Linked DNA regions of Danio rerio. The protein of the gene in region 2 purifies or fractionates together with the protein of the main gene of each other region. This does not show direct contact. Links are inferred from orthologs where the notes say so. Each region holds a gene or a part of one and is shown on either strand. Other genes may lie near its edges. The genes, in order: zzz3 and tada2a.

Region 1 (16,807 bases), on a different chromosome or scaffold from region 2:
GTAGACTAAAGTAATTGACAGCTATGTTTTGTTGTATTCTAGTTAAATATTTGTGAATGAATATATTTGAAAATTGAATGGGGCGAGGCAGTGGCGCAGGAGGTAGTGATGTCGTCTCACAGCAAGAAGGTCGCTGGTTCGAACCTCGGCTCAGTTGGCGTTTTTGTGTGGAGTTTGCATGTTCTCCCTGCCTTTGCGTGGGTTTCCTCCGGATGCTCCGGTTTCCCCCACAGTCCAAAGACATGCAGTAAAAGGTGAATTAGGTAGGCTAAATTGTCCGTAGGTTATGAGTGTGTGTGTGTGAATGTGTGTGTAGATGTTTCCCAGAGATGTGTTGCGGCTGGAAGGGCATCCGCTGTGTAAAAATGTGCTGGATAAGTTGGCGGTTCATTCCATTGTGGCGGCCCCGGATTAATAAAGGGACTAAACCGAAAAGAAAATGAATGAATGATAAATTCAGATATTTCTATTTACTAACAACAGAAAGTTCTGCGTTTTAACAATATTGTGTGCATTTTAGCATCAAATATGCGCTTCAAACTTTTTCTTGATTGAGACATGTTGAATTCTTCTTATATTATGTTTGAAATAATGACGTGAACTAGAGCTGCACAATTAAGCGTAAGATGATCACAATCTCGATACGACATCCTAGACGATCTTTACCCAACATTTCTACGATTCTGTCAATCATATTTTCAAGTTCAGGAGAGAAGCAATGGTGGCCGCACAAGTCTTCACGTTGTTTTACATACGTTGCTCAGCGACATGGACACCTCCAAATGGTGTTGAAAGAGTCACATCCTGTATTTATAAGGTATAATTCACCTCAAAAATGTTATTTCTGTCTTCAGGTAATGTATTTGCGACCGCAAAATCACACATGACGTGAGCTGCTGACCGTCAGCTGTTACCACAGAGGGGGCGTGCGCACGTGCCTCTGAATGAAGTCTACTTTAGTGAACAGAACCTGCATATGCTGTGAATAACAGCTAATAAAGTTGTAAATAACATTCAGTTTGTGGCACAAAGTGATCATTTTGGAACCGCGCTCGAAGTGAACCGCTCTTAGCAGTAACCGAAACCGAAAGCGCACACAGTGTTGCCAGATGTAGCTGACTGATTCCAGCCCAAAAAGTATCAAAAACCCGCCGAAATGCAAAAATACCCACCCAGTCTTCTGTATTGACGAGAATCACATCAGTGACAGATTTAAGCAGAAAATTACAGATTGTAAGCATTAGGGATGTAACGGTATCAGAATTTCACGATACAATAATACCTCGGTATGAATGGCACGGTACGGTATTTATTAAATAATTTACAGGAAAAACAAAACTAATGAAAAGACTCGAAAAAAGTGCCAAAAGTGTTTATTTACCTTAGCACTGAACATATCAATGACATACAAATTAGCCACCTATCTGTAAGTTTCGAAACAGGAACTTCAATTTTTCAATTTTAATAACAAAAAACTATTAAACCATATAAAAAAATAAAGTTTCAATTTAGTATTGTTGAAAACTCATCACATTCAACATTTAATCACTCACTCACTTAGATAGAGATGGGTTTTTTAAGGAAAATTATTATACAACTATAATCTGGTAAAAGCTGGGATCTCTGGGCATGTCCCCTGCAACAGAAAAAAACCCTCTCATTTGGGACTGAGGTTTCTGGGACAGAGAGATATGATTTAGCCAAGGTTGACAGCAGTGGGTAACGTTGTGCATTGTCTTTCCACCACTTGAGAGGACAAGCCATGAGTGAGATAGAGGTCTCTTTGCGGTACAAGTCAATGTCAGCATCAATCTAACAAGTGTGCTGTGTTCTGCAGTCCCCATGACTGTTTTTAGTCGTATTCCCGACTTATATTTCACCACAGTCTGGCAGTGCCTGCATACTGTTTTATTCTTTGTCTGTCACCTTTTCTCCTTTTTCGTATCTTTTTAGAAAGAAACCGAAATGCTTCCACACAGATGATTTAAAACCCGCTTTAGGTTTGATCATTTCCAGCTCTTTTTCTTCCCCGCTACTAGCAACACACTCCATTTCTGGATCTGTAGTGACAACAGATCGCAAAGGATGATGGCCACGCTTAAGCTGATGGGAATTGTAGTTCCCACTACCTCCCGTTCGATTCATTTGCCTAAGCAAACTTTTCTCAGAAATATAGTGTTATTGAGTCATTCGCCTACGGTAATATTGAAAAAAATTACTATTGTGGTATGACGGTATTTACAATATTGTAACATCTCTAGTAAGCATATGTCTCAAACTCAATAATTCAACATCAGAATAATCATCAGCATTAATGACCAGGACAAATCTAAAGTCTGTTCAAGTCCACCATTCCTAGTCTATACAAGTTTAGCATTTTAACCAACAGTACAGCTACACAAAGCCTGTTGCTGTTTTACATGTTTGAGAACAACAAAAATAATAGCCCACTCATATCAACCTTTATTTTACATCTACAGAATCGTGAGAAAATCGTGATTGTTATTTTAGGCAAAAAAAAATGCAATTCTCATTTTAGCCAGAACCGTACAGCTCTAACGTGGACAAAGAAAAATTCGAACAAAACTGATACACACCTTTGTCAAATATTAACTGCAACTGTCGTGTTTTGCGCTTCTTGTCACAGAACTCCCTTTCAAAGTCGCCCCGGCCTGAGGTGTATTGGTCCCATGCAATCTCCGGGAGCTGGACCACTCTCTGGGGTCGAGGCAGACCCATGTCCACCTATAACAACAACAAAACACTCAAATCACAACACGGGTCTAAATAGCAGACATTTAAGACAACAGGAATGGAAGGTCTGGTGGAAGCTTGTGTACCTGTTTCTGTAGCTGGTCCACAAAGGCAATGGGATCTGACAGGGCTTCCTTCTGATGCCGCGCCAGTGTCTCCAGGTCCAGGATGGCTTGGGTTCGCTGGGCCTCCAGTACGCTGATGGTCTGGAGCAACCTCTGATAACTAATGTGTGGGATAAAGGGCAGAAATGATTTGTACATTATTAAGAGCTAATGCTTTTAGACATCAAAATCACCCATTCATTGTTTCATAGACATCCATAAATAAAATCCCTTTCAATGGTTCACAAAAAATATAGAGGCTGCAGTAGTTGGCACTGTTGCCCCACAGCAAGAAGGTTGCTGGTTCAAGTCCCGGCTGGGTAAGTTGACATTTCTGCATGGAGTTTGCATGTTCCTCCCTTGTTTGCATGGGTTTCCTCCGGATAATTGCTCTGGTTTCCTCAACAGTCCAAAAACATGTGGTATAGGTGTATTGAATAAATTAAATTGTCCGTAGTGTGTGTGAAAATTGGTGTGTATGGTTCTTTCCCAGTACTGTGTTTTGGCTGGAAGGGCATCTGCTGCATAAAACATATGCTGAAATAGTTGGCGGTTCATTCTGCTGTGGCGACCACTAATAAATAAGGGACTAAGCTGAAGGAAAATAAATAAACAAACAATTCTGTTTAAGATGTGCTGAAAAAAAGCATTAGACATCACTCAGGAAATATTTAAAACAGAATTACAATTTCACAAGATGGCTAACAAAGCTGCCTTAGTCACTGCTATAAATAAAACAAAATGTTTCTTCTGGGTTTTCTCTACATTTATCTTGTTAGTCAAGAAGATATGACGTCCGAGCACTACAGAGCTTTGACCTTTTCCATGCGCACCCTCAGGAAAATAGGATCCACAAATAGGAACATGGAAAAAAAAAAAAGGGGAACGATGGGGGAGAATGAATAATACAACAGGGTTTTTAAGTGAAGGAGATTCAGCCTACTGCTCAAAAGTAATCTTATTCAGCTCAATAAACCTTGTATAAATCAATCAGGCCTAATACGGCATGAACGAAAACCAACTGATGACAGCAAGCATTCGCTCTCAACAAGAATTCATCTAGAGGACTGGTTTCATCTGATTTGCCATCCTTGAGGGCAACTGGCTAGCTTTCCTTCAATTTCCTTGCCGCCTAATAACTTCGACCACAGAGGAGCTGTTCACAGCCTCTCGATTCAGATGCACAATGAAGATAGACATGTAGCACTGCAGGATGGGGAAAGCAGCCAACAATGGCAAAGAGCCCAAACATGACATATGGCTGATAACGCACTGCCGCCTATAGTTCAACCACATGAAATGCAGCCTAGACCAATAATAAAGCTGAACAAATAGAAGTATAGTGAAATGGGCATATTAATCAGTACTTTGCCAATTAACCTGCACTGAATTCCACACAAACAGGAATTCTGGCCTAAAACCTTCACACATTTTTGTAACTAGGTAGGCAAATCAGACACATTAGAGCTTATTGTGTGCATGTTAAAGTGATAGGTCACCTAAAATAAATAAATAAATAAATAAGGTAAATTCTGTCATCATCATGAACTCACACTTCATTTGTTCAAAATTGAGTTTCTTTCTTCATGTTGAACATAAATCAAGATATTTTGCTGAAAACCTGTAATCATTGACTTCCATAGTAAGATTAAACAAATACTATGGAAGTTAATGGTTATGGGTTGTCTTCAAAGTATCTTCCTTTGTGTTCAACAGAAGAAAGAAACTCATAAAGGTTTAAAATCACTCGAGGGTGAGTAATTAGTGAGTACATTTTCGTTTTTTTGGGCGGATTTTCCCTTATAGTCAGTCATTACAATGCCTAGGTTTAGACTGAGAGATGTCAACACACCACTAAAACCCACAACTCCGGGTAAAGTTTGTTGTAAAATACTACTTTTACAAACAGTGCACGGAATAAATGAGTATTTTTCTTTTAAACGTACGTTTTCAAAAGCATGCTACACCATAAGGTATTATTTGTGTGTATCTACAAGAGTTGGGTGGTGTCGACCAATTTGGCACCATACAATGTCTAATGTGAAACATTGCGATTTGGTCGATGGCATCGTTGTCATAGGCAACGTCATTATTTATAATTAATTAATTAATTCATAACGAATTAATTATTTGTAGCCTACCGTTTCAACTACCTGACCCGCATGCTCTTTGTTTTACCCATAAAAATACACAAATAAATAAAGATAAGTTACACACAAATGACCACCTATCACTCATTTTTTCCAAGTGAGGGTGGTCGGTAAAAAAGGTGCCCAACCAACAGTATCTGAGGTTTTCCCTAAAATTAATAAAGTACAAGTGTGAAAGTAAAAGACTGAAGCCGTGAACTGACGCTGTGACACGTTACCTGATAGATTCAAAAGACAGAAGAGTTGTTAAATAGAGACAAGATTAATTAAATATCACTTTAAACAACTCTAATAAGACACGATCCAGCGGTACATCCTTGATAAACTCTCCGATGTGCACTTCTCTCTGGAGCGCTTGACAATGTGTGTGCGTGTGTGTGTATTGTCACGTGATTTGTGTTTTCAGCGGACGGAGGGCTGTTCAGAAATGCTAGGTAAAACACAGCATGGATGTGGATCATTTACGTTCTAAAATGCCATTTTAATACTAAGACGTCTTGGTGTAAATGAGGCCTAAGTGTGTATTTTATGCGAGGGAGTTTGCGATGGCGGCAGGACGAAGAATCGTCATGCCGGCTGTGCATTGTGTTGTCTATTGGCCATCGGCGATGGATAATGGCATCGTCTATCAGCCCAACCCTAGTATATACTTATTCGATTAGTTAGTAGCAAAGCCAAAACTGGAAGTAATGTAACAAAATAAGATGTTTTGTTATATTTTGACTAAATAAAGGGTGGTTTATCCTTCTGTGTTGAGTGATCGACGTGACCAACAGCGCATGCCTTGTGCACAGCCGAGCATTTATACGTCTGCGTGCTGTTTGTGTTGCTCTGCAACAACACTTTCGAAATGCTAGCTGGCAGTAGGTTTTGTTATGTTCCTCTGAATCGAGTTTCTTCACAGGTTTTTGTTTTTTCTGAACGCTACCATAATGTACAAATAGCTAAAACTCGGACGTGCATCAACTTTTATCATAAGGTAAACACAAAACACTTACGGCTACTCCACGGGACTCCACACTTGTAAACACTCACTCCCATCTGGCTCGCGACTCTTAGCACTGCCCACACTTGGCACAGCTACCAGGTCGACCAATCACAGAGCTTGCACTAAGCATCGTTGCGACTTGTAGTTTAATTGTATGTAAGGTGCACATCAGTGTCTGCGACCGCACACAGGCTGCGCCAAACCATACGTGTGCACTTGACGCAGAAGTATAAATATGCCTTAAGAATAAAACTTAAAGCTTGGACCCCGTAGAGCACAAGGCAATAATCTGTACACCCCAATTAATCTTTTATTGGAAAAAAAGTATAATTTGAATTAAATAAAATAAAAAAATCAATAAAACAATCAAAATAATAAAGCTAATTGAACTTTTGTTTTTCTTATGTAATAACTCATTTAAATGTAAACAAACTATATCTTTGTATTCATCATGATGTTAGGTGACCAGACTCTTATTTTAAGAAATATGCACCAAAATACACTCATCAGCCACTTTATTAGGTACACCTTACTAGTACCAGTTCGAACCCTTTTGTTTTGCCTTAAGAACTGCCTTAATCTTTTGTAGCATAGATTCAACAAAGTATTGGAAATAATCCTTCTATATTAACATGATAACATCACGCAGTTGCTGTAGAATTGCTGTAGAATTGATGAATTGATCCATGATGTGAATCTTCCGTTCCACCATATCCCAAAGGTGCTCTATTGGATTGAGTTCTGGTGACTGTGGAGGCCATTTGAGTAGAGTGAACATGATCAGCAACAATACTCATGTAAGCTGTGGTGTTGACACGATGCTCAATTAGTACAAATGGGCTAAAAGTGTGCCAAGAAAATATCTCCCACACCGTTACACCACCACCAGCAGCCTGAACTGTTGATACAAGGCAGGATGGATCCATGCTTTCATGTTGTTGGCAACAAATTCTGACCCTACCATTCAAATTAAATCAAGACTCATCATACTAGGCAACGTTTTTCCAATCTTCTATTGTCCAATTTTGCTAAGCCTGTGTGAGTTGTAGCCTCAATTTCCTGTTTCTAGCTGACAGGAGTGGCCTTCTGCTGCTGTAGCCCATCCGCCTCAAGGTTGGACGTGTTGTGTGTTCAGAGATGCTCAATGTGATGTTCAAAATTACCAATTTAGTCTTTTATGCCAAACATCATTTGACTATTAGGTAAAGATTATGTTTCCTAAACACATTGCATTAATTTCCTACAGTAAATGTATTAAAATGTAATTTTTTATCTTTAATATGCCTAAATATATACTTTAAAGATGTTCAAATAGTTATTTCCCAACCAAATATTGTCCTATCTGGAAAGCATATTGAGCTTTAAAAATGTATAAATGTCAGTTTCTATAAAAAATGATACTTATGACTAGTTTTGTGGATCTGGGTCACATAAAAGCTGCCATTCACTCACACCAATCAACAATCCAACACACTATATCAACATCCTAATAACCAACCAGCAATGCTTTACAAGTTAAAACTGAATTTCAAAATGAATTGCGATGGAAAAACTGTCCCATTTAAGGATTAAGAATGATTTAATACCAAACTATTAATAATTCAGACTGGTCCCATGAACTGATGTGGCTGCACTCTCCTTTCATTTCTACTGACCGACAAGCCAATCCAGCTGGCTGCTCCCGATCCCTGCACTCCCACTGTGAGACTGGCACATGCTGAATGAGCACGACCCAGGACAACCTGTCTACCAGCAGCATGCTTCCCTTCGCTTATTACCTACCACTGTCCTGGAGATTACAGCAGCTGTTGCTCATTTTTGCTACAAAAAAAAAAACAGTATGCATAACCAATGTTTTTAAATTACAAATCTCAAATGCTGAAGAAAAAAAGAGCAAAGGCAGACAAATCGAAACTTGCACAGCTCAGTTTTGGCAACCATACAAGCTAAAGCATTGCAGTTCGGTTCTACTTCCAAAAAAAAAAAACAACTTAAACTATTTTAAATTTCAAAGCTACAGAACTATCTGAATGGATTGCAGAGTATTTCTATATAAGTTTTTTGATTGGCTTTGGTGGTTTGCTGTGCAGTTTCTAGGATGTTTTATGGCCCGTTTCTACTTAGTGGTACGGTTCGGTTCAGTGCGCTTTTAAGGCCGTTTCCACTGTCAAAAGGTACCTAAAAAGCAAACCGTACCACTTTTGGGTACCCTTTGCAAAGGGTACCTAGCACAACAAAAGGGTACCAAAGGGCGGAGCAAGACGTGCAACTAAACGCTACTGGTTTACAGAGATACGTTACACGCAAAAGCAGGAGAATAAAAACAAAGGAATCACCTTTTTTAAATACACAGCTGAGACATTACACCAGGGGTCACCAAACTTGTTCCTGAAGGGTCTGTGTACTGCAGATTTTAGCTCCAACCCTAATCAAATACATATGTACAATACTAGGTATACTTAAAACACTCAGGCAGGTGGATTAGGGCAAGTTGGAGCTAAACCCTGCAGGGACACTGGCCCTCCAGAACAAAGATTGGTGACCCCTGCACTAGACCATAATAATATATACATATAATAACGAACCATGGTTGACCTGAGCTCAAACAACCTTGTCGTTGTCTTGATGAACAGCCACAAAGCCAAAAAGAGCAGAATCTACCCTGTGGCCAGTAGTTATTTAAAGGGCGAGCAGTTTTGCTGTCTTGTGTGCGTTCGTCATGCTTCTATATTTGAAATAACAAACTTTTTGAGCTGATTATAATAACGTGCGCATGATTAATAAAGTGCTTCAGACATCCAATCCTTTCAGAAACAGACCAACGCGAGAGTATAGTGCGAAAAAACAAAAAAGAAGCCAGAAAAACAAAAAAACAAATGAGCAAATGATTCTTTCAGCAACCTAAACCATGAACAAACGACAATGTTTAACTACTATTGTCGCCTTTTGAACTATTATAAACTTATGAATAGCTTTTTTAACCGCAGGTGAAGATTAAAGATACAGATGAGAGGTTTGCACTGATTGCACAGCTTTACTTTGACATTTCCTCAAGCTAGAAGGACGTTGACTGAAACTTTCTGTTGAATACCATGCCCACCAAAAGAGTACCATTGGTACCCTTTTGGCAATGGAAACGCAACCCTGATAAAGGTGACTCGTACAGACCCGTACCGTACCGTCCGGCTTAGTGAAAACGCGCCATTATGAGGTTCCTTAAAGCAACAGATGAACGATACTATAGGTTTTTAAACATTGCTCTGGTCTGTCCAAACTACAGTTGCAGTCAGATTTTCAGATCACCAACAAAGTCCAATAATTTTAATAGAAATGTAGCTGATCTGAAAATCTGAATATGGATCAAAGATTTTTAATTTGTAGATTTTTTTTAACAGGTTCAAACTGGTGACAGACATAAAAGTCAACCAAAACATACTTCTTAACCTACAGTATTTCTGGCTGACAGTCGACTTAAGACTTCTCATAAAGCTACATGATTCATGTCCGTTGTATTCAAAGTTGGGTTGTTGGGTTTAAATGCTGGGTTTGGGGTAGCCAAAAGCAAATTTCTAATCAATAATCTTGAATCACCGCAATTATGAAAAAGATTCAAATGAAAGAACGTAAACCTAAACATACTCTTTGTTGTGTTTGAGAGCCAAGTGATCCGACTCAAAATAGTAGACATCTGGGTCCTCTTCCTCCTCCTCATCTTCCTCAGCCTGAGCAGCCAGCAGCTCTTTGGTGGATCTTGACTCTCTACTATCAGACACTCCGACCTCTCCGCTGACAACCTCTTCCTCGAAAAGTTCACTGTCTGCCTCGCAAGAAAGTCCCAGTGCATCATGGGAAGGGTCTTTATGGCTGGTGTCCTCTGAGAAAAAAGGAACCATTGTGGTCTCTTCCTTCAGTGAACCATTGTCTATGTGTGGGGAAGTGGGTTTGGGGGAGCTGGCTTTGAGCCCGCTACCAAAGGCAGCGCGGCGCGGTGAAGTCCTCAGGGTGTAGCGGTGTTCTTGAGGCTCTGTGAAGGAGGGGGGCTCGGCGGGCAGCTGAGAAGCAGCCAACAGCGTTTCTCCTGAGATATTCGAGCAGTTGTCAGAAGGGTCCTGTGGTTCAGCCTGAAAGTCACCATTGGTGCTCTCCTCTCTCACGAATTCATCCTGAGCCTGGCCAGCCTCTCCCACAACATCGACCTCTACCTCCATCTCGGGTTCCTGAGACAGCACAGCCTCAGCGGCTTCCTCAGGTGTGCAGTTCCTCTCACAGTCAATTTTAGGGCTGTCGGGCTCATTGGTTTGCTTGGGATGAGGGGATCTACAAGGCACAATAGGGTCGGGGGATGAGGGCGCAGCCTGGCTGCCATTTAACAGTGAGGGACTGCTGTTGAGTGTGGCAGGGGAGGCACAGGGCTCCACAGGTAAGGCCGCAACTTCTGAGTCCTCTCTATAGAGTTCAGCGAGGCCATTGGTTGCTTTGACGTTCTCGCTGACCTCTGGTTGAGGGGCGATCTCTTCTGTTGGGCCATCCTTTTTCTGATCAGCCTCTTTGTCTGAGGCTGAAGTATTATTTGATTTGGCGCCATCGTCATTTTCCTTCAATACAGCAGGATCGGGGCTCTCGGGTTTGAGAGAAGGCTCTTCCTCTGCCCCCTGTGATTCACCTGAGCGAGGACAGCGTTTGGCCCTCTTCAGGGCAGGTGAGGCTTCAGGCCCACACCCAGACCTTTGACGCTCACAGTTATCAAATTTGTCCGAATCTTCCTTCTCGGAGCTCGGCAAGCCACGTTTTCCACATGCAGGCACGGGTTCGCCCTCCGCTTTGCTCTCAGTTACCTTTCCAACCTGTGCTCCGGTCTGCTGGTGCTGCTGACAGTCCTGCTTCTTTTTGGGTGAGCGAGCTCTGGGCACGGGAGGCGGAGAGCTCTCTTCCGGCTGGGCGATGCTGCGGTTCCTGAGGGTTCGGCCACAAAAGTTCTCATCCAATCCATTTATCCCCACTGATGATCTTGTGACGCGCGAAGAGCGGGACGCGGCCATACTATGGTGGGTGCCTACTGTCTCCTCATCGTGGTGCTCTCTCCTCAGCAGCAGTATGTGGGCACCTGAGTGACACAATGAGAGACTAATTACAGACCGTTCAGATTCTAAATTACACAGGTTTAAGTGTATAACAAAAAATAGACAGAAAAGATGTAATCGGTTGCTGTTCCTGAAGAACATACATATTTGAGAATGCATGCAAATGTGCTCAGGTTAAATCAAAGTTGCTGCACAGCACTGAAATGTTCACAAGTTTAAACAGAGGTTAGTATATTCTGAAATGTAGTGGATTCATGTAAAACAAGTTCATAAGAAGTTACATTTACACACAGAAAAGTTTTAACTTTTAAAAATTAAAAAACAAAAACGTACGATAAAGCTGCAGAACTAACAGTTGAAAGATCATGTTCTTGATTAAAGACTAATGCTTACTTCACTGTAACCAATTGTATTATTATTGATATATAAACAGACTGCAGAAAACACATTCCTCCTATAACCTCTAGTACACTCAATTAAATTCCTTAAATACTCAATTACATTTGTGAAATACCACCAACACTTTCTCTTAGTACTTCATAGGTAAGAATTGTGTTTAGTACTGGAAGAGATTGAAATTGACAGCATATTTTGAAAACATAATTATAAAACTTCAATTTAATCGCTCGGAAAATAAACAATAAAACATTTCTGTGGTTGCTGCTTTGCTTTGTCATGGTAACATTTAAGTCCCCATTCAAGGGCTCTGCACCCTGGACTGAGCAAAGCATAGGAATATGGGTCTACTTGGGTGTTGAATTGTCTAATAATGATGTCAGGCTCAGGGGTGAAGCATAGGGCTGGGCGATAAAAATCGAGATCACAGGCTTTTATGACTAAACAAGCTCCAGAAGTTCTGGGAAACTGAGGTGGTAGAAGCGCAGTAGTTATGATTTCTTTAACTTGTATGAAAAAAATATAAATAAAAAATACGTGACCTGAGATGGTTAGGAGAAAGATTTAACTGTATTTATTAACTGAACACCATTGTCGATATCAGTAACAAAAAAAGTTTGGTATGTAGTTTCGGTATGAAGCGCTATAGTTTTATTAAAATGTGTCTGCCGAGCGCGCACCTTGGAAGCAATGCCAATAAGCTTAGAGTCAGTTTGTCATTTCCAAAGGAGGTGCACATGGGAGTGACGTACACATGGTGTGCGCATCACGTTAAGGAGCAACATGTTTGAGCACTTTCTAAAGATTGTAGTTCTGATTTTAATAAAGGGTTGGAACTTTGAAATTAATTCTTTTTTTTTATCTGATTCAAGTAATTGTTAGTTGCAGTCCCAAATCAATGATCATTCTCCCTTCTGTTAAGGCTTCTGTTTGCTAGCCAAAAAGAAAAATTATTGAAAACCTGGTGTCCAAGAAAATTAAAATATACCACTCAAAAACACATTCGGACCAAAGAAATTAAAGTGACCCCAAAATGTAAATGTGAATATTTAATATTTTTAAAGTTTAAAAATATGATCTAAAGTGATGGTTTTCAACAATGTATTAATAAATGTGAGCACATGAAAGCATAACTGAAAGCTCAACTCTGAATAACAGTACACTGGTGGAATATTTGGAATGTTTCCACAAGCATGAGTTCCACAAGAAAAGGAGGTGGGCGTATTTATTTTTAGCTTTTTAATCGACTGAAAAAAAATTCAGCTAGATTTCTGAAGAGCATCTGAGTGATGGTTACCTGTGCAAAAGTCACCACAATGCCAAGGTGCTGCTATGTGATTACTGGTTCAAGTCGAAACGAGCTCAACTATGTCCATAATTACCCTCTAGTTAAAGCCTATGAGAATTTTTTAGTATAAAAACTAATAGCACAGCCCTCAAAAAACTGCAGAATTTAGAAAAGCCATTGAGGACTGTAGCATAAACATATCAAGTTTTATACTTTGAGACATAAACAAGAGTAAAAGTGATGATATATGAGCAAACATCGCTAATAAGAATCCCCCCCCCCCCCAAAAAAAACCTTTACTTATTACTTAGAGATGCACCAATTGTAATCACTTCAGATTTTTTTTGGTGTGACCTGCTGATACCAATGTTCGCTGATTCCAACTTTCTTTATAACAGCTATAATTATAAAACAAATAATAAATAATATTACAATCAGTCTAAAGAAGTCAACACAAAGAGACACACACACACACACACACACACAAAAAATGCTATTTTGCAGTATAGGGACTGGAACACACCAAGTTGACGCTAAAAAACTAGCACAGAATGTTAAGATAATACATCGCACTGGTACTTATACTAATTAATTATACACTTAACATTAAATAGTCACCTTTATAATCATGTCCAGTCTTTATCCTACCATATTATTAGTAAATTTATAATCAGTTTTTTTTTTAAGCCAGTGTTCAGTCCCCCGGATTAGTGGACTTATTGACCACCTCTGTACACACTGCTCTCTGATTTAGGAAAGGCTTTCCTCTCCACACCAGCCATCTCAGTCCCCAGTGAAAGAGTTTTTTTCAGCAGGGGACATTATAAATGTGCAAAGATCTCATACATAAACATATTAAATGCTGATATTTATTTAAAAAAAAAAGTCAAAGCACAGTCACAGCTTTAGTTTGTTTATATAACTGAGTCTTTATTTTTTTGCTGGGGAGTTTGTTTTTAAAATAGAAAATTAGTTATGGCAGAAAATATATTATTTTGCAAAAGATTTGTAGAATTTAAGAAAAAAATGAAAGGGCTCTTCATAATTTTGTAAAAAAAATCGTGACTTAATCGTATCGAATCGTCAGTCAGGTAAATCGTTACATCCTAGCTATTAGAATACCGGCCCATGCCTAAATCCCACTAGATTGAAATAAACAGTCCACAACAACCAGTGTAGGATTTGTTTAAACAAATGTTGCACACAAGGCTGTATCGTGGTAGTATATGGTGTGTAGACGTTCCTCTCATTGTGAAACGTCACTCGGAGTATTTATAACCGGCTCAGGTGAGATCAAGTGAGAGGTGAAGAAAAGACTTGAGGCTTTTAACAGTCTCACACATCTTTATAGGGAGTTGTACAAGCCTAAAAATACATATGCATGTGAAACCCAAGGTACAAAAGAAAACAAACACTTTTATAAATGTTACAAATAAAATTAAATTGCATTTTCAAAGTTAATGTTTGCACAAAAATGACAAAAAAAACTTTAAAAACATATTAAAGTAATATAACCATAAATAGGTGAGGAGGGGCAGATCCAATGAGAGCTGGAAAAAGTGATGCAGAATATAGCATCAGTAGAGGTGGCACACTATAATAAACCCACACCCACTTTGAAGCAGTACTAATTTGTGTAAAAGCAGACTGAGTTAAGACATACTGAACCACAGAGTTGTAGCACCTAGTGGAAAAGCGCTCAAAGAAAGCCTAAAGTCCAAACAATAATAATTAAGCTCCACATGTAACTTGGCCATGTAAAGTATACTAATCTGATGCTCACATAAGACCGAAGTATGCCTAAGTACAGTGCATCCAGAAAGTATTCATAGCGCTTCACTTTTTCCACACTTTTTCTGTTACAGCATTATTCCAAAATGGATTAAATTCATTTATTTCCTCAAAAATCTACACACAATACCCCATAATGACAATATAAAAAAATAATTGTTGCAAATTGATTAAAAATAAAAAACCTGAAGAATCACATGTATAGAAATATTCACAACCTTTGCCGTGAAGCTCTAAATTGAGCTCAGGTACATTCTGTTTCCACTGATCATTCTTGAGATGTTTCAGCAGCTTAATTGGAGTTCACCTGCGGTAAATTCAGTTGATTGGACATGATTTGAAAAGGCATACACCTGTCTATATAAGGACCCAGGGTTGACAGTGCATAACAAAGCACAAACCAAGCATGAAGACAAAGGAATTGTCTGTAGACCTCTGACAGGATTGTCTCGAGGCACAAGGCTGGGGAAGCTTACAGAAAAATTTCTGCTGCTCTAAAAGTTCCAATGAGCAAAGCGGCCTCCATCACCCATAAGTGAAAGACTCTTCCTAGACCTGGCCTAAGCTGAGTGATCGGGGGATAAGGGCCTTAGTCAGAGAGATGATCAATGACCCGATGGTCTGAGCTCCAGCGTTCTTCTGTGGAGAGAGGAGAACCTTACAGAAGGACAACCATCTGTGCAGCAATCCACCATTTAGGCCTGTATAGTAATGTGGCCAGATGGAAGCCACTCCCTGCCAAAAGGCATCTGAAGGACTCTTAGACCATACGAAACAAAATTCTCTGGTCTGATGAGACTACAATTAAACTCTTTGGAGTGAATGCCAGGTGTTATGTTTGTAGAAAACCAGGCACCGCTTTTCACCAGGCTAATACCACCCCTACAGTGAAGCATGGTGGTGGCAGCATCATGCTGTAAGGATGTGTTTCAGTAGCAGGAACTGGAAGACTATTCAGGAGAGAGGGAAAGATGCTTCAGAGTGCTCTTGACCTCAGGCAGGGATGACGGTTCATCTTCCAGCAGGACAATGACCCAAAGCACACCTCCAAAATATCAATGGAGTGGATTCACAACAACTCTGCGAATGTCCTTGAGTGGCCCAGCAAGAGCCCAGACCAAAATCCTATTGTACATCTCTGGAGAGATCTGAAAATGGCTGTACACCGTCACTTCCCATCCAACCTGATAGAGCTTGAGAGGTAGTGCAAAGAGGAATGGGCAAACATTCCTAAAGACAGATATGCCAAGCCTGTGGCATCATATTCAAAAAGACCTGAGGCTGTAATTGCTGCCAAAGGTGCATCAACAAAGTATTGAGCAAAGGCAGTGAATACTTATGTACATGAGATTTTTCAGGTTTTTTATTATTAATTAATTTGCAACAATTTCTGATAATCGTTTTAAAATTTTCATTATGGGGTCTTGTGTGTAGAATTTTGAGGACATAAATGAATTTAATTCATTTTGGAATAAAGTTATAACCTAAAAAAATGTGGATAAAGTGAAGCGCTATAAACACTTTCCAGATGCACTTATAATTTTTTTTGCACAAGAGGAAAATTGCATTTCAACCAACCAACAAATAAATGTAAGCAACACTAAAATTAAACCTCCAAGCAACGATGAAAGGGACCCGCAGGGCTCACCACCTCCCGGTGGCCTAAGGATGACAGAGAATAGACTTCCTGTTGGGTTTGAGATTTCGCTCCAAGAGAATTTTCATTCAGATCCTCATTAGGATACTAAACAAATTTTATACTGTAGTTGTAAATTATTTAGAAAAAGGAAATCTGTAAATACAAACCCTAATAAAATACTGTCAAATGAATCAAAAAGTATTTTTGTTAACTCTATAGCTGTGTCCCAAATGGCACACTATACACTGTGCACTATGTATTACTTATGCACCTACACACTCAACAGCATAGTATATGAATGTAGTGTTGTCGCAAATGGAACTTTAACATTTTTTTTCTAAGCGGAAATTCAAACCGTTTCACCAATGACGTTGCTAAATTAGCCAAATAAATGACCAAATAATACTTGCCACGAGTATAACCTCATTCACCATCGGGTGGTGCTATAAATCACTCTCATAGGAGAATTTTGCTTTCACAATCTAAAATAAATAAACTTATCCAACATCAGTGCCTGAAAGCACCGCCCCTTCCACTACTTATGCAAAGCAGCGGCCGTTGAGTGCGTGAAGTGTCAAACGTTCCACACTCCATTTTAACAGCTGAATAAGTGCAT
Region 2 (16,007 bases):
GCAAAACCTAGTTGTGTACTTACACACTTATTTTGTTGTTGTTGTTGTTAAAGAAGATTGACAAGCTGTATAAACTTTAAAAAAAACTAAAAGTATAACAGTCGGTCCAGGTCAGTGTCCCCAACATATATGGTCTATAAATACATAGAGAACTTTTTAACCAATGTAATTGTAGGGAAGACAACTAATCCATATTGGTAAACAGAGTTATAAATAGAGTAAAGTTTTATTGAGATGGACTGTGTCGGTGTCGGCCTGTGGTGCTTTTCTCAAACAACGACGTAACTCCGGGATTAACTATCATAGTACGATGCATCGTTTGGAAAAAAGAAAGATGTAGTGATGAGTGTTTCCCCAAAACCGTAGTTTCTCTGTCGATCCATAATTTGAACCATGTTAGATATCATGTAAACCGCCTATAATGGTACTCTAAATCAGGTGGTAACAGCTTATTTAGAGAGGAACCCCATAATTTCTTTGTGCAAATTATATTGTTTCACAGGGACACACATTTAAAAAAAATCCAATTTTAGTTTTAGTAAAAACATGCAATTGCTTTCCAGATTAATTGTAATATACTGTATGTAAACGGCATATATAGGGCCTGTTTTCTTTACAAATATTATTGAGAACATTACATATTCTATTCTAAAACATAAAATCACTTACAAAAGCAACCACGTATTCTAGTATCATATATTAATCATACAACTAAATAAATAGACAGTCTATTTATTAAGAAATAAAATGTTATATTTATTATTTATTAGGAAATGAAAAAAATCTTACTTTAATAATAATATCAATAATATCACTGATTATTATTATTAAGTAGAATATTGTTTATTTATTTATTTTTTTGAAAAGTCTACTTTTACAATTTGACACATGCAAACCACTGCACAAATGTTCTAACTAACAGGCCCACGTCATATACAGTACAGATACTTAATAAATACATACTAGATATTAAAACCATTAGCTTTTAAATAATAGGTCACCTGTAGCTTTCATCATGAGCCACGGCTGTGTTCAAAATGACATGAATGCTTTTAAAGTGCACTAAAGCGGCAACGCAAGACTGCTAAAACTGATCTGTAAAAATACTTTGACAGCAAATTACACTTAAGAGTGATGACTTAATTTTTTAAAAATCATTTCAAGTTTAAATGTTAGAATGTATAGGGCATATAACTGGGCATATAACTACAATAACTGGGAATAGAACACAGCCAGGAACTATGTTTCTAACTACAGCTCCAAAGGTGTAGTTGCAAACATTGAAGTTTGCGATGCAGTTTGTGAATGTTCTTTGGAAAGACGGATTTGAAAAATGCTAAATAAATGAACTATGGTTGTAACGACGGAACTTGCGACCTTAGTTGGCTTTCGAAAACGTACCCCTGATTTGGACATATGAAAATTAAGACCTGTAAAAAAAAACTATTTAAGACCTACAAGACAACATTTTAGCAAATTTAATCATTTTTAAAGCCTAAAATTTAGTTGTTGAAATGCAAGACATTTTAAGACTTAAGAACCTGCAGACACCCTGGTTATTGTTTGCTCCATTCAGCCATTTTCATTTCTTGTTTTGCATTTAATTAAACACTTAATAAACTTTTACGGCTGAATACAACATACAAGCTTTGAGTCACATTTTTACGTTTAGTGACAAGTACCTGTGTAATAAGTGGCATAAAGTACATCCAGTCGGTTGTTTTTTTTTCTCCACAGAACAACACTCCACAGATTTGCTTCGCTGATGCGATAAGAACCACTTGGATGTACTTTATCTTACTTACACTCCACTGAAGGCATGCATTTCTATTCCCTACAAATTTGTTTTCATCCATGTCAATATTGAAATAAGGTGTAACCCTGACTAAAGTCTAGTAGCTGCAGATCTCTTACCTCCATGAAGTCTGCTCGAGCTGGCATGTATCCGGCCATATCTCTGGACAGTTGTGAGTCAAAGGAAGGCCTTGGAGGATCGTCAGTGGCTGAAACACATACAACACAAAGCATGACATTATTATTATAATGATGCATCACTCAGTCATTGCCACATTTTGAAAACTGCAGATTTGTCTGTGTGTGCTTATGTGCCATCTTAACAACAAAATGAATCAGACAAGCACATCTCGTATTCAATCTGTTAGTCTGTGTGTGGTGAGAGTGTGATGAATGAGTGCCCGCAGGGATGTGGAGCTCAGGATGGCAAACACAAATGAACACAATGAAAGAAGCATGGATTAGAACACGACTGATGTCCTGCTATTCAGTACAGCACTGTTTATTGTAAGCCATTTATCCATATATACCTTATTTGTACTTCATGTGCCATCATAATTTTTTATCTAAATAATTTCTATTCTCTCATGATGTATTAATTTATTTTGACTTAGATTTAGTTGACTAATAGCGAATGATAACTATTCCATCAATTCTAATGAAATAAAGCCTTTAACATCACAATATGAAAAAAAAACTATATATATATATATATATATATATATATATATATATATATATATATATATATATATATATATATATATATATATATGCTGATTTAAAATAGGATGGCAGAAGAATAAATATTTCATTAAAAACCTCCATAAAATGTCAGTGTAAAAAAAAAAATCAAACAAGCAAGGAGCGAGTAGCAGAAGATGGAAAACCCGGATCAGAGCTAGAGCAAACCCGGTTAGAGAGGCTTTGTGCATGTAGTGGACATTCTTGCCACTCTACACATTTACTCTGACAACAACAGATGAGTACAATGATTGCAATCTCTTATAATGTTCACACCTGATATTAAGAAGATGCATTTTTGTAACTACTTCATCAGGTAGTACAGGTGTGAACAGTCTGTTAAACGCTTTGAGCTTGTCAAGAGGTGGTCGAAAAACACATTAGACCAGAATACTCTTGTGGGGTCAGTTTTGTCGCTAATGTTAGTTTGTGTAATACATGCTTTAGTGAATCAAATTCATGTAAATTGCATCTAATAAAACCTATTTAAATATTCAGTGTTTTGAGGGAAATTTTGTGTATAAATTTAGCTAACTACTGATTAGCTATTTCAGTGGTTACTGTGGGTCAAATTATACAAACAGTGCATCTAATTGTAATTTACTGTTAGACTAAATGTAGACACAAATGCCTATTTTGCAGGGAAAATTCTTTTGCGAACACTTAAGAGTGTCTATTGGTTTTCTAGATTTGCTGGTTTCAGACTGTCGAATGATTTTTTTCTTGCATAGACTGATTGGCGTAATTATCAGGGCTCGAAATTGCAACCGTTTTGGTCGCATTTGCCCCTGAAATTTCATCAATTCAACCTCATAATAAATTTGGGAGCATTTCTGCGACTGCATATAATGGTTGTAGTGCGACCTGTTAAGATTTTTTTTAAAAATGTGCTGAATCGGTCTTCCTTGCTGCTGTATTGGTTCATATTAGCTCATAACAAAGAGCGGTATTGCGCCAGTGGTCATCGGGGGAATCCTGCTCTGCATGCTCATAAATTGGTGCGGCTGACTCGCCTGCTTTCCACAAACGAAGAAAAATGAAAATCAGCTCATAACAAGACAAGATTATCAATAACAAGATAATCAAAACTTTTAAAGAGTGATAGAAATGAGACTTTTATTAGGTTCTTCTGTCCATTATTCCTTGAGATTTATATTATTATTTAATTACTAACTAAAAAACAGTTTTGCAGCTTTCAATCTTGAATTTAATGATTTATTATAGTCTTTCGTTTGTTTTGTGACAGAAACATTCTTTTTTAGATTGACATGCATATAAAAACAATAGTACAAAATAAACATTTTTTTTACTGCAATGCTTTATTTTAGTTTGACGCAAACCATATTTTTCATAAAGTAACTTATATTTATTTATATATATAAATAAACTTATATATATTTATTTATTTCATAAAGACTTTTTTTAGCAGATAACTCGCATTCAAGCACATTCAAGGCAGCATCATATTGAGAAATGTAATTTATTGTTAGTATTATTGTCATTTTTGTCATCATTAATATTTAATAATTATTAGACATGCATTTTGGAACTATTGCACACAAATATCAATAAGTCATTACAGCATTAATAAGATAGTTGTTTCTGGTTTTTGTTAGTCCTAATTTATGTTGTTTTCAAATACAATAAATCCCTTTAAATACATTTTGCAATGGTGCTCATTTATTTTTGGTGGTGCTCCTAAATTTTTTCTGGTACTCCTAAATATGTTAAGTTGGGAGCAACGGTGCTACCAAGTGAAATAGTTAATTTCAAGCCCTGATTATACATTCACAATGGAATGAACCATTATTATTTTAATGATTAATGATAAACACTAATAATGTGAGTTTGAATGCTATTTCACATGACATTTATTGCCATAAACTGAAAGCAGCAGCAGATAGTTTCACCTCAGATCTTAAAAATAAAATAAACAGTTTGAAATTGAACACACATATTTGTACATGTGTACATCACTGTAACATGTTTTCTTCATGACCATTTGAGCTGGTTTTAGTCCTTAGCTCTTTTCATTTTCATCTTATTTAAATATGTTTAACTTGCTTGTTAATTAAATACCATTTTGTTATTTAAACTATTATTTTTATGCAACAATCAACTTGCATGTTAATTTGCTATGAAGAAAAGGAAATATTTTTTTGCATGCAGATTTATGTGAAATCATGAATATAGGTCTATAATCACCTTGCAATTTTGAAATTATAGCTTTTTTGCATTGTGTATAGGCTATTCAGTTCATAAGAACAGTTCAATCTTTTATTAAGTTTGCTGTATAAAAATATAACAATTTAAAATATTCATAATTATCGGCCTATACATATCGGCTATCGGCCTCCAAGTCTGAAGAAATATCGGTTATCGGTATCGGCCAAAAAATCCATATCGATGCATCCCTAATTATAACCCCTAATTAGATTATAAACCTCACCATTTTATGAGTGGTGCATATTCTTTGCTTCTAAATGGTTGTATTTAAATTTCTGTTGTGTTTCGTCTGGTGCAAATAGGCAGATTGCTTATCACTGCAAATACCGTCGCGTAGTGTGTTGTTAGGACACAGGGCTTACGATGGTCCTGCTTACCTAATGTTGCTTATTAATAACCTCACGTGGAACTCTGAATCTGCGTCTCATTTCGGAATCTACTACTGTCCACTGGAGGACACATTTCGGTCACGAACACATGCTTTGAGAGCCTTTCTAAATAAATGAAATAAGAGGTTTTCCACCAAGGCAACCTGAGGTACTGAAATATAACTGGCTAAACTGGCATTGTGCAGGTTAAAAGAACAAAGAAAGAAAGCATTTTGGCATAGAAAACCAATTTTCAAAGCAGAATATCTGACTTCTGCATTGTTTTTCAGATAAACATAAATGTTCATTTGGCATGTCTTTTAAATATCTGCAAACATATTATAGTATTTTATGCTTCAGAAGAGTCAAAAATGTACACACAGCACTTTTAAGATACAAATCAGAGAAATCTATTAAAGGGCACATAGGATACCCCTTTTTTCATATTTATTATAAATCTTTTGTGTCCCCAGAATGTGTCTGTAAAGTTTCAGCTCAAAACACCCATCAGAGTATTTATTATAGCTGTTTGAAGTGTCTGTACTATAGCTGGGAAAAGGTTGTTGCTGTTTTTTAGCACTGGGCCTTTAAGGCGAGTCATCCCCGCCCACCGTTCCCACGTGCCTGTCAGCAACATGCCTCAATCGCCGCCCTTGGCAGCCTCAGGAAGCAGATCTCACGTAACGTTTGTGAGAAATACTACAGTAAGAACTTTACCAATCAGTATTTGATGCATTTTTTGTGGAGTTGCAACAATGAGTTCAGGCACACAGCGCAGACACGTAGAGCAGACACACATGCACATACATAGCGTAGACACACAGACACACACACACACACACATAGCACAGACACGTAGAGCAGACACACACGCACACACACACATACATAGCGTAGACACGCACACACAAAGAGAGACAGTGAGAGAGACACGTGGCTGTGCTGATGAAATGAATCTGAAGTGACTGGCTGTACTTCATTACACACGTGCACACGTTTTAAAACATGTTAAACTTGTAAAACTCACTCTTGATCACGTCTGATGATGATTGATGATCCTAGCAAACTGAACAGACCTTTTATTCCCGGTTGCTTTGCGCTCGTCCTGTCTTGTCGATATAATTTTATGCATTACTACGGAGACATGTTAATGCGCGCAGCTGTCAATCAATATTGGTGGGCGGGGGGACCGCACTCCTACGTAAAGTTGCGGTCTATCTGAAAACCGATTCAAATTGGTCCACCGTTTTTATGTTGTTAAATTAAAAAAAAAAAAAAAAAAAAAAGGGCCGGGTGTGTTTATTTCAACCCAATATGACAGTCTATACACTATACTTACACACATGTATATCCAAACAGCTTGAAAAGTAGATTTTTCACCATAGGTGCCCTTTAAAGTGCTGACAACTCACACAGCTTGTTTTGACGTCATTCAGGGGGGATCAAGTGTTAATTAGAAGGGTCAATCCCAATTAATGCATAAAGTGGCTTTTTCATATAGCTTGTTTAATTTATCTGGCTCTTGTCTGGTACTTTGTCCAATTGTTGTAATCAAATCAACAAAAAAATTCTTAACAGAAGGCCTCAGACGCTATTTGACTAAAAAAAAAAACAGATCACCGAGTTTACAGAAAACAATCAGACTGTGGCTGGGAGATTACAAACAATTTCAGTTTCCTGCACATACACTAGCTATTAATTTAGCATTACCTGACATGCTTTTTCTACTCTAATAGTGATGGAAAAGTCTGATTTTAATGATTTACTAAAGAAAAAAAGTCAGATTAAGTCAATTTCAAGCAAAATCTAATTTTCTTTTGCGTGAACTTTCATTTTAACTTGTTTGGGATTGATTAGACTTGTAATTTGTTGAAACCTTATGTATATCAAGAGGTGAATCACACAACAGTTGCTTCTGTTGTTTTTGCTGCTCACTTACGCTTGAAGGGAATGGCTGTGTCTGCTGTCCGGGACAGATGATCATCCATATGTCTGAGACTGAGCAGAGTGGAGGAGAACAGAGGATTGTTGATATAGTTCTTCATGTAGTGACCTTCACATTCTTCTTTGGTTTTAGAGCGCATCTGGTAAGCCACGTCCTGCCTGAAGAAACCCAGATACAACAGCAGCAGTGTTACATTAATGACATATTAATACTTTTAAAGCATTTAGTCTTATTTCAAATTTAAGTTATCTGTAATTACTTAATGTGCTCATGCAATTTTTGGTATTATTATTTTATTAAGAGTTAATTTATTTTTATTTTGGTTTGAGTGATTTTATTTTAGATTTGTTTCTGATAATGCAATCATATTTTTTTTTAGTTTTTTTTTGTAATATTTTTAATTTAAGTTTATTTCAATTATCAAAAACAGTGTATAAGAATTTTAACACTGGCCATACATTTAAACTAAAGTGTTGATGTTTAAAAACTGTTCCCAAAAGCTAAAAAACAGAAATTATTTTTAATGTACTTTCTGATCACACAGTAGAAAACTGATATTCTTTCAGAGTATTTTTGTCTTGCTTTCTGCTGCAAACATCTATTTGCAATTCAATATACATTTACTACAAGAAGCAAAATGGCATAAGACAAGAAGTCCTGTTTTATAAGAAACTGATATAAATGTGTTTGTATGCATGACATGAACAAAGGTCTGCCTATAAACAAACAAACAAACAAACAAACAAACAAAAAATTGATTTATTCCATATTAAACAAGTTTTCATGCTGTAATGACACACATTTGTTCTTCTTTTAATCACTTAATTTTGTCAATTTCTCAAAAAGTAAACTAAAATATTTAGAATCAAGCCTGAAATTATTCATACCTTTATTCATGAGCCGGTGTCATTTTAGTAACTTTAAGTCAGAATTTGCCAGGGGTATGAATAATTCCGGGCTTGACTGTATATTAAAGATATTATTATATTAATGTATACATTGCATTACTATATAATTGATTGGTTTTGCATTTAACTAAATATATCTTGATTTATGGATGATTTAATAATTGCATTGCATAACAAGACAAAACACTGAGGAAGACACTCTTTTTTGGCAATTCCTGAAACATTTCATGCCATTACTACTTCACAAATGTATCACTTTTTGTTCTGATTTTAAACTTAAATAGTGGAAGAGGACATTACATTATTTAGATCTGAGGAAACACTGAGCTCTAGTACAATTAAGCCTTATTAGAAGAAAGAATAAAAGGTATGGAAAGGAACTATACTGACCAATTCCCAAACCCACAGTCCATGACGGCCTCTAAAAGAGCCATTTCCTCCTGTGCAGTCCAGCCACTCTCTAACACCGGAAAATCTGAGGTCTAGAAAAAATACATATTAAAAAAAAAAAACATGTTATTTATAGAGCAAATACATTTATAGAGCAAATTTTTACAATCAAGAATTTTTAAAGAACAAACAAACAAAAGAATCTGTTTTGAACATTTATGGAATAAACAACATTTAAAAACATCTTATATATCTAAATACTTTAATGATTTTTAGGAACATATAACTAGTGAAAACAAAACAAACACCCACATACAGTATTTGTTAACATTTTAGTTTAATTATCAATTACACCAGTAACAAAAGAGAAACAACATTTACTACTGGGTTATTACCTGTTTATTAGCACTTATAATACTATTATCTTATTTTACATCCCTAATCCTACCCAATAACTACGGTAAACCCAATTACTACCATATAATACCACTTATATATATATATATATATATATATATATATATATATATATATATATATATATATATATATACTTATATAAATATAAAACTATAACTATAAAATTAACTACAACAAAAAACAAACCAACAAAAAACAGTTGCCATTGAAATACCTTTTATTCCAATATCTTATGTATTAAGTGTTGTAATCTATACTTTACCATGATTTCATATTTGTGGTCACTCTGGTGCTTTTTATACTCATATCCTCTAGTGAAACACTGCAACAGAAAGATGAAAACATAAAGTGAGTATTTCATGATCAGTGACAGTGTATGATTGATGCATTCAGACAGCAGTGGAAGGAAAGCACCTGCAGACACAGGAGAAATGGGGACGGTCCACATTCAGCACACTTGATGTATGGCTCCACCAGATATGACGAACATCCACGACAGGGAGGCTTATCGAAAGGATCATCTGAAGACCAAAAAATTTAGAAACAGAATGAAGGTATCAGCAAATCAACCCTCAAGAAATTCCGTTTCTCTGGATTTACTGGATATTTTAGCTATGGGTTTGAGTAATAATGTTTAGTTCATGAACAAAAATTTAGTCATTTAGAGCCTTTTTGGATGTTTTCTGAAAAAAAAAAAAAAACAATTCCAATAAAATAAATATTAACATTTATTTTATAAATAAAATAAATATTAACATTTATTTTACTTAAAATTTTACCTAAACAAATCCAATATTTTCAAAGTAATAAAGTTTAGTATAAAATATCCAAATATTTTAATTTGTTGTGATTAAAAAAAATCTGGGATATGACACCAAATAATACTTTTTTTTAAAAAATTCTTCTGAATTCAAAAATTCAAATGGTATTGTGCTGTCAGAAAAAGAGAAAATATAAGCATGTCTAAAAATAAATTTTATTGTAACACAATACAATACATACTGTACAACACATGTACAGTATGTGTTTAAGTAAAAATAATAATTTCTGTGAAATAAAGAAATTCTGTTCTATACATCACAAAAAATAGTGTGATTTAGAGCTACTGTATCTAGTCACAAAATTACAAAATAATAATTTAATATTCTTTATGAATAAATGAAACAAATAATAACATTAAAAGACACAAACAGTACCTAATCAAACCAGAACGTTCAAGAAGTCCAGTTTTTACAAAAGTGTACAATATATTTTCAAATATGACACTTGATTTATTGTTTGTTGCTTAGAATAAATGTTTAATATTTCTTGTGTTTATAAAATATTCTACAAATGTGAAAGAAAACCATTATTTTATTTTTAAAGCATTTATTTTATTTAGCTAATCTTGAATGTATGTCAAAACATATTACTATGTTATAAAGCTGATACTTATTAAAAAAACTATGAATTATAACGAAAAGTGAAAAATATAACCCACCAAAATCAAATGTAGTATTTTATTACAAATATCTGTTATTATTACGTTATTAGATAATTAGTTTTTAATGAATATATATATATATATATATATATATATATATATATATATATATATATATATATATATATATATATATATATATAGTTTATAAGGAAATAAGAGTATATTTAAGAAAAACATTAATTTGTGAATAGCCATGGGACAATAACAGGTTTCAAAGTACAACGCAGTTTGGAAAAGTCAATGATTTAAAACCGCCAAAGTTTTCTGTTATACCGTTCCTACGGTGTTTGTACGGTTTTTATTTACGTGTTTTTTTTTTGTTTGTTTTTTTTAGGACAACAGTATCTCCAGAAGAAAAACATTTGCGAAGATGTCTTTTCAAGTTGTAAAGAAATCAGTGTTTTGAAACTAATGAAAACAGCAGAAGTCAATGATTCATTTCAATAATTTAGGACACGTTTACTTTTCCAAAATATTTTAAATGTTTCTCAAAATAAACTATATTGTGTTCAAACTAGGTGGAAAAGTTTTAGTTGTTCACCCAGACATTTAAAAACTTATTTTAGAGCACTAATAATACTGTGAAACTGTGATAATTTTATCCAAAGTTCTCATACCGTCAGAATCTTATACCGACCTATGCCTATTTGTGAAGCATAAAGTATACAGTAAGGGGGTCTTAAAACTATTTCTGGTTAATACAACATTCACCTGAGGTATGATTACAGTTAATGCACTGCAGCTACTGCATTTTACTTTATAGTTTCTACCATTAATATAATTTGTTTTACCATTTATGAATTACAACACCATGGTACAGCATCATATATTCCACTTAAAAGCATTGTGAATTATTTACTACATTCATTAAACTCACAATATAAATAGTTATAAAATGTTTTAAATACAATAAATAAATTTACAAATTAAATATTTGTATAAAAAATAAACATTAAAAAACTCATATGCTACATTTTATTTCATATATATACTTTAAATTATTGTTATTTATTTATATAAAAAAATATATATACACATTTTTTTAAAGAAATCATGACTTTATACTTTAATGCACTGATTTGTTTTATATAAGTTATATGTATTACAAATCGGGGGCAGCATGGTACAGTTTAAGATGCCGTACTGCAATATGCATTATGTTAAGCGTTATTAATAAGTGTATTATCATAACATGATGTACTCCAGAGAAATTCAAATATTGTCATGGCACAAAATACAACGTACGTCGTAAATGGCTCTTACAGAGTCATTTTAGCTGACATCCGTTTACTATGGTACATTTCTGTATCAAATACCAGAGCTATTTAGTTTTCATATTTAGGCTGTTTCCCCAAGAGTACTAGATTTACTAAACAAGAAACTTACTTCCAAATGACGCCAGTCTATCCATGTTGTAAATGAATGATGGGATCTGGAAAATGTAAAACCTTCCTCCTCCTCTTCCACTCGTTTGGAAAAAAATTGAGATCTTTCTGTGATTTGTGCTGAATTAAACTGGGCGGTTGTACCGATTATGCCTCGTCGTTAAAAAGCAAAGAATAAAAACATAATCTTATGCTCTGTTTAACACATTATTGAGAATGTAAACACAGTGCTTCTGCTCGATCTGTGCAGCTCAGTGAACAACATTAGGAGGGGAAGTGACGTTCTTCCACAGCGCCCCTCAGCGGCACCTGCGCGATACATACATACATGAATATGTGACAGACTCGCGAGCTCAGCCTTTCTACAGTGAGGTCAAGATCTCTCAAGTGACTTTTAATAATCATCTACAGTATAACTGATAGCCTACTTTACACTGGACACTTGAGGAATATCAGACCAGATATTTCGTTTTCATCACTTTCCCACCTGTAAATCATCGTAAGTATTTTTTTACGGATTCATTTCTCATAGTTTTATAAGAGGCGTTCAACTCATAGATATTTATAATTGATATCTATTATATAATGTCGATGGTTCAGCTTCAGGATGATCCTGTTTTTATACATTATTTAGTATTAATAGATTACTATGAAAGTTAGAATTATTATTATGATTATTATTATTATTAGGTTATTACATTGATATATAAATTACATAATTATAATTTTTACTTTTACTTTCCTTTGGCCTTTTCCTTGCTTTAGCGTGGTTACCACAGCGAAATGAACCGTCAATATCTTAATTTTATGAAATTTCATTTTTCCTTTTGTTAATGTTGGTTATTGTATTTACTAACATGAGCAAATGAGGAAATGCTAATGAACAACAGATTTATTACAGTACTTGTTCCTCTTTTTTAACGTTTGTTAATGACAATAAAGTTGTTCATTGTTAGTCAACGTAACTCACAGTGCACTGACTAATATTAACAAGCACAACTTTAGATTTTAATAATGTTGAACTCGGTCGAGGCAGTGACGCAGTAGGTAGTGCTGTCGCCTCACAGCAAGAAGGTCGCTGGGTCGAACAGTTGGCGTTTCTGTGTGGAGTTTGCATGTTCTCCATGTCTTAGCGTGGGTTTCCTTCGGGTGCTCCGGATTCCCCCACAGTCCAAAGACATGCGGTACAGATGAATTGGGTAAGCTAAATTGTCCGTAGTGTATGAGTGTGTGTGTGTGAATGTGTGTGTGGATGTTTCCCAGAAATGGGTTGCAGATGGAAGGGCATCCGCTGCGTAAAAACTTGCTGGATAAGTTGGCAGTTCATTCCGCTGTGGCGACCCCGGATTAATAAAGGGACTAAGCCGACAAGAAAATGAATGAATGAATAATGTTGAACTCAAAAAATGCCATACAGATTTGATAATGCTTAGTTCATGTTAGTAAATGCATTAACAAACATTAACTAACAGACCATTATTTTGAAGTATCACCCTGATATTTTTAGTTATGCACACTTTTATGTATTGTCCATTTAGCTTTTTAAATTAATTGAATTTAGGAAAAGATAACATTTACTCTGTCTCTTAACCTCTGAAAAAAAAAACACTGTATTTAAGTCCATTTATTCTTGTTGTTATTATAAATTGTGAAAAAATCATCCAACCGTTTTAAATTCATGATTGAGCTATTCCAGCGTTATGGATGTGACTTTTGCAAAACATAAATTCACAGAGAAACTGTTAACGTGTTTATATTTTCCAAAACAACTAACCACAGAGTAATGGGATCAGAAAAACATCGATCTGTAAACATTTTTTAGATCTTAAATGAGGGAAATAAACATGCGTTATGGATGATGAAAAAAGTTAGTGAGTTTACAGCATTCGACATACTTTGTAGAAATTCTGTGAATTAAACTGCACACCCCAAAATAAACAATGCTAATCGTAAGGATAAGAGTTGGCTTACTATAGGAAATAAAAAATACTGATTTTATTAATTGCAATGAGAAAAAAAATGGTTATGGATGTGAAAGATTTGTAATATCCACTTGTATGACTTTGGTAAATCAAATGTAAAACATTAACGAGATATTTTTGAGTGTTTCTAAAGTACTGTAAAATACTTGCTTCCACAAATAAATTTAGAAATGGTTGCTATTTTGGTGAAAACTATTTTTTTTTTCATAGCAAAGTTGACATTTGAATGGAATTGCTCGATTGTAAATTTAAAAGCACAAATGTGAAACTGCTAGTTTACAATGAGTATGCAAATTTTATTTAGAAAGACTTCTCCCATATTGGAGCAGTCAATGATGGTCCATGAATGGTTTGCTGCACAATGTTGTGGCATCTTGAAAAACTAATTTCAAATTTATTTTTAGTGATTTCATGTTTTAGTGGTTAGTTTAAATATTTAACACTTCAAGATGATAGACATATTGACATCAGAGTCTTAGGACATACAAACTCTGGGCACACATATACAGTATTTAAAGTAAAACACACAGTATTTAAAGTAAAACACATGCAATATGATGGAATAGTCTTCATTGTCTTCAAAATAAAAGAGCCAATGGGACTTTTAATGCACAGGGACTTTTAATTTTCAGTAAGTCAACTTAAGAGCTTCCGGTGAACTGCCATGGCATTACAAAATAGTCACGTTTAAGATTTGATTTCTTAAAAATAATCTATGATCTTCTTTACTGCCTAATTGAGATACGATATAAAGTGGGCCTTAGACCAAACAAGAAGCACTAAATAGGGTATATGCAGAGCTAGTATTTCTTCCCATACCCATAAACTTCCGGTGAACGGTTAATGTGACTTTTTTTCAATTTTACACAGTTCCTTTTACAGCATCAATGTTGTAATGTAATTAAAATCGATATGTTAAATAGAGTTCAGCATTCATTTAGTTGTTGAAGCGGAAACCGAGATGAAAAGCTGTTTACATGCACGCACCCATCAGGATCAGCAGGCAAGCACAGAAACACCATTGGAAACACTTGAGTAAAACAAATTAAAATATTTTAAAGACATGACATGGGAAAATGTAATTTAATTCAGTGCTTCTTGTACAGTCTGAGGCCCATTTTACAACGTATATCATTTAGGAAGTGAAGATCGTTCATTTTTAAAGAAAACAGACCATAAACATACCGATTTTGTAATAGCATACTGTTCACTGGAAGCGTTTGACCCAGGTTACTGACAAATTAAAAGTCCTTCAGCATGTTTCTGCATTCAGTATACCCTATTGCATTACATTGTTCCACACCATGTCTATCAAATATGACAATATATTTTACCACAGTATTTTCATTTGAGTTTCTCTGCTTGCCTGCTGCTCCTGCAGCGCATGTGTTAAACATTTAAATGGCCTTTTATCTCGTTTTATGCCTCAACAACTAAATAAATGCTTAAGTCTATTTAACTGATTAGATTTTAATTAAATTACATTATCAGTGCTGTAAAAGGAACCTTATGAAATTGAATATACTATAGTCAGATTAACCATTCAATGGAAGTTTATTGGTGGCTGAAAAACACTTGTTGCATGTATAGCCCATTGCAAATTGACTTTTTTGTCAGTGCAGCAGCTGTTGGAAGCTCCAGCTGTGACAGAAACCATCAATGAGAGGTGCAGGACTGCACTTGTGCACTAGCTGATCTGGTCTGAATAACTTGTTTGACCATTACTTTCTTTCAGAGAGAATCCAGCTGGTGTCAAAATGCCAGCAGAGGTCACTAATGAAACATTACAAAATAAATGCCTTTGGTTTGCTCAAATGGTCACCCATTCCTGACAACTGACTACTTATTTTCACATACCAATGTCGACAGGTATGGTCTTGTCATGTGGGAAACACGTTGATTTGTGTAAAGCAGTGTGAAATGTCAAATTAATAACACAGCATATTAGAACAGTTCTCAGGCTTTTTATTTGATTTTTAATTATAAACAATGAACATGAACAACCAAGGATGATAGCCTATAATACCATTGTAAAGACCATTACTTGGAGCCTTTTCAACAGGGTAAACTCAATTTTACATCTTTCTTGATCTAATCACAACAAAGGATCCCAGTTAAATAGTACCAATGGATTACGCAACGCAATTAACTCCCAAACTAGACTTCTAATGGCCAGCATTCCTCCCTCTTCTCCCAGGTCTCTTCTTTTTGGGGTGCTGCTTGTGAACATGGATGTGAGTCTCTACAACAACTCTCACATGCAGCATTGGACAAGGTGTTTGAGCTGTATTGGAACAGATTATGCAGGGTGTGTGGTTATTGCAAATGAATTCTGAACAGACATGCACTTAAAATGACA

Evidence for each region.
Region 1: the proteins of tada2a (region 2) and zzz3 purify together in Homo sapiens (affinity purification with mass spectrometry; 4 studies listed by BioGRID and IntAct, with this or other methods). This does not show direct contact. The link is inferred for Danio rerio from reciprocal best matches to the Homo sapiens genes TADA2A and ZZZ3.

What each region holds. Positions count from the first base shown.
Region 1 is NC_133177.1:9,143,567-9,160,373, reverse strand, and holds the start of zzz3 (ZZ-type zinc finger-containing protein 3), read right to left. Parts: upstream 11,036-16,807; coding exon 9,636-11,035; intron 2,980-9,635; coding exon 2,841-2,979; intron 2,746-2,840; coding exon 2,598-2,745; intron 1-2,597.
Region 2 is NC_133190.1:18,212,625-18,228,631, reverse strand, and holds the start of tada2a (transcriptional adapter 2-alpha), read right to left. Parts: upstream 11,932-16,007; 5' UTR 11,693-11,931; coding exon 11,668-11,692; intron 9,317-11,667; coding exon 9,210-9,316; intron 9,118-9,209; coding exon 9,058-9,117; intron 8,468-9,057; coding exon 8,376-8,467; intron 7,236-8,375; coding exon 7,072-7,235; intron 2,004-7,071; coding exon 1,915-2,003; intron 1-1,914. UniProt on the Homo sapiens protein: Component of the ATAC complex, a complex with histone acetyltransferase activity on histones H3 and H4. Required for the function of some acidic activation domains, which activate transcription from a distant site. Binds double-stranded DNA.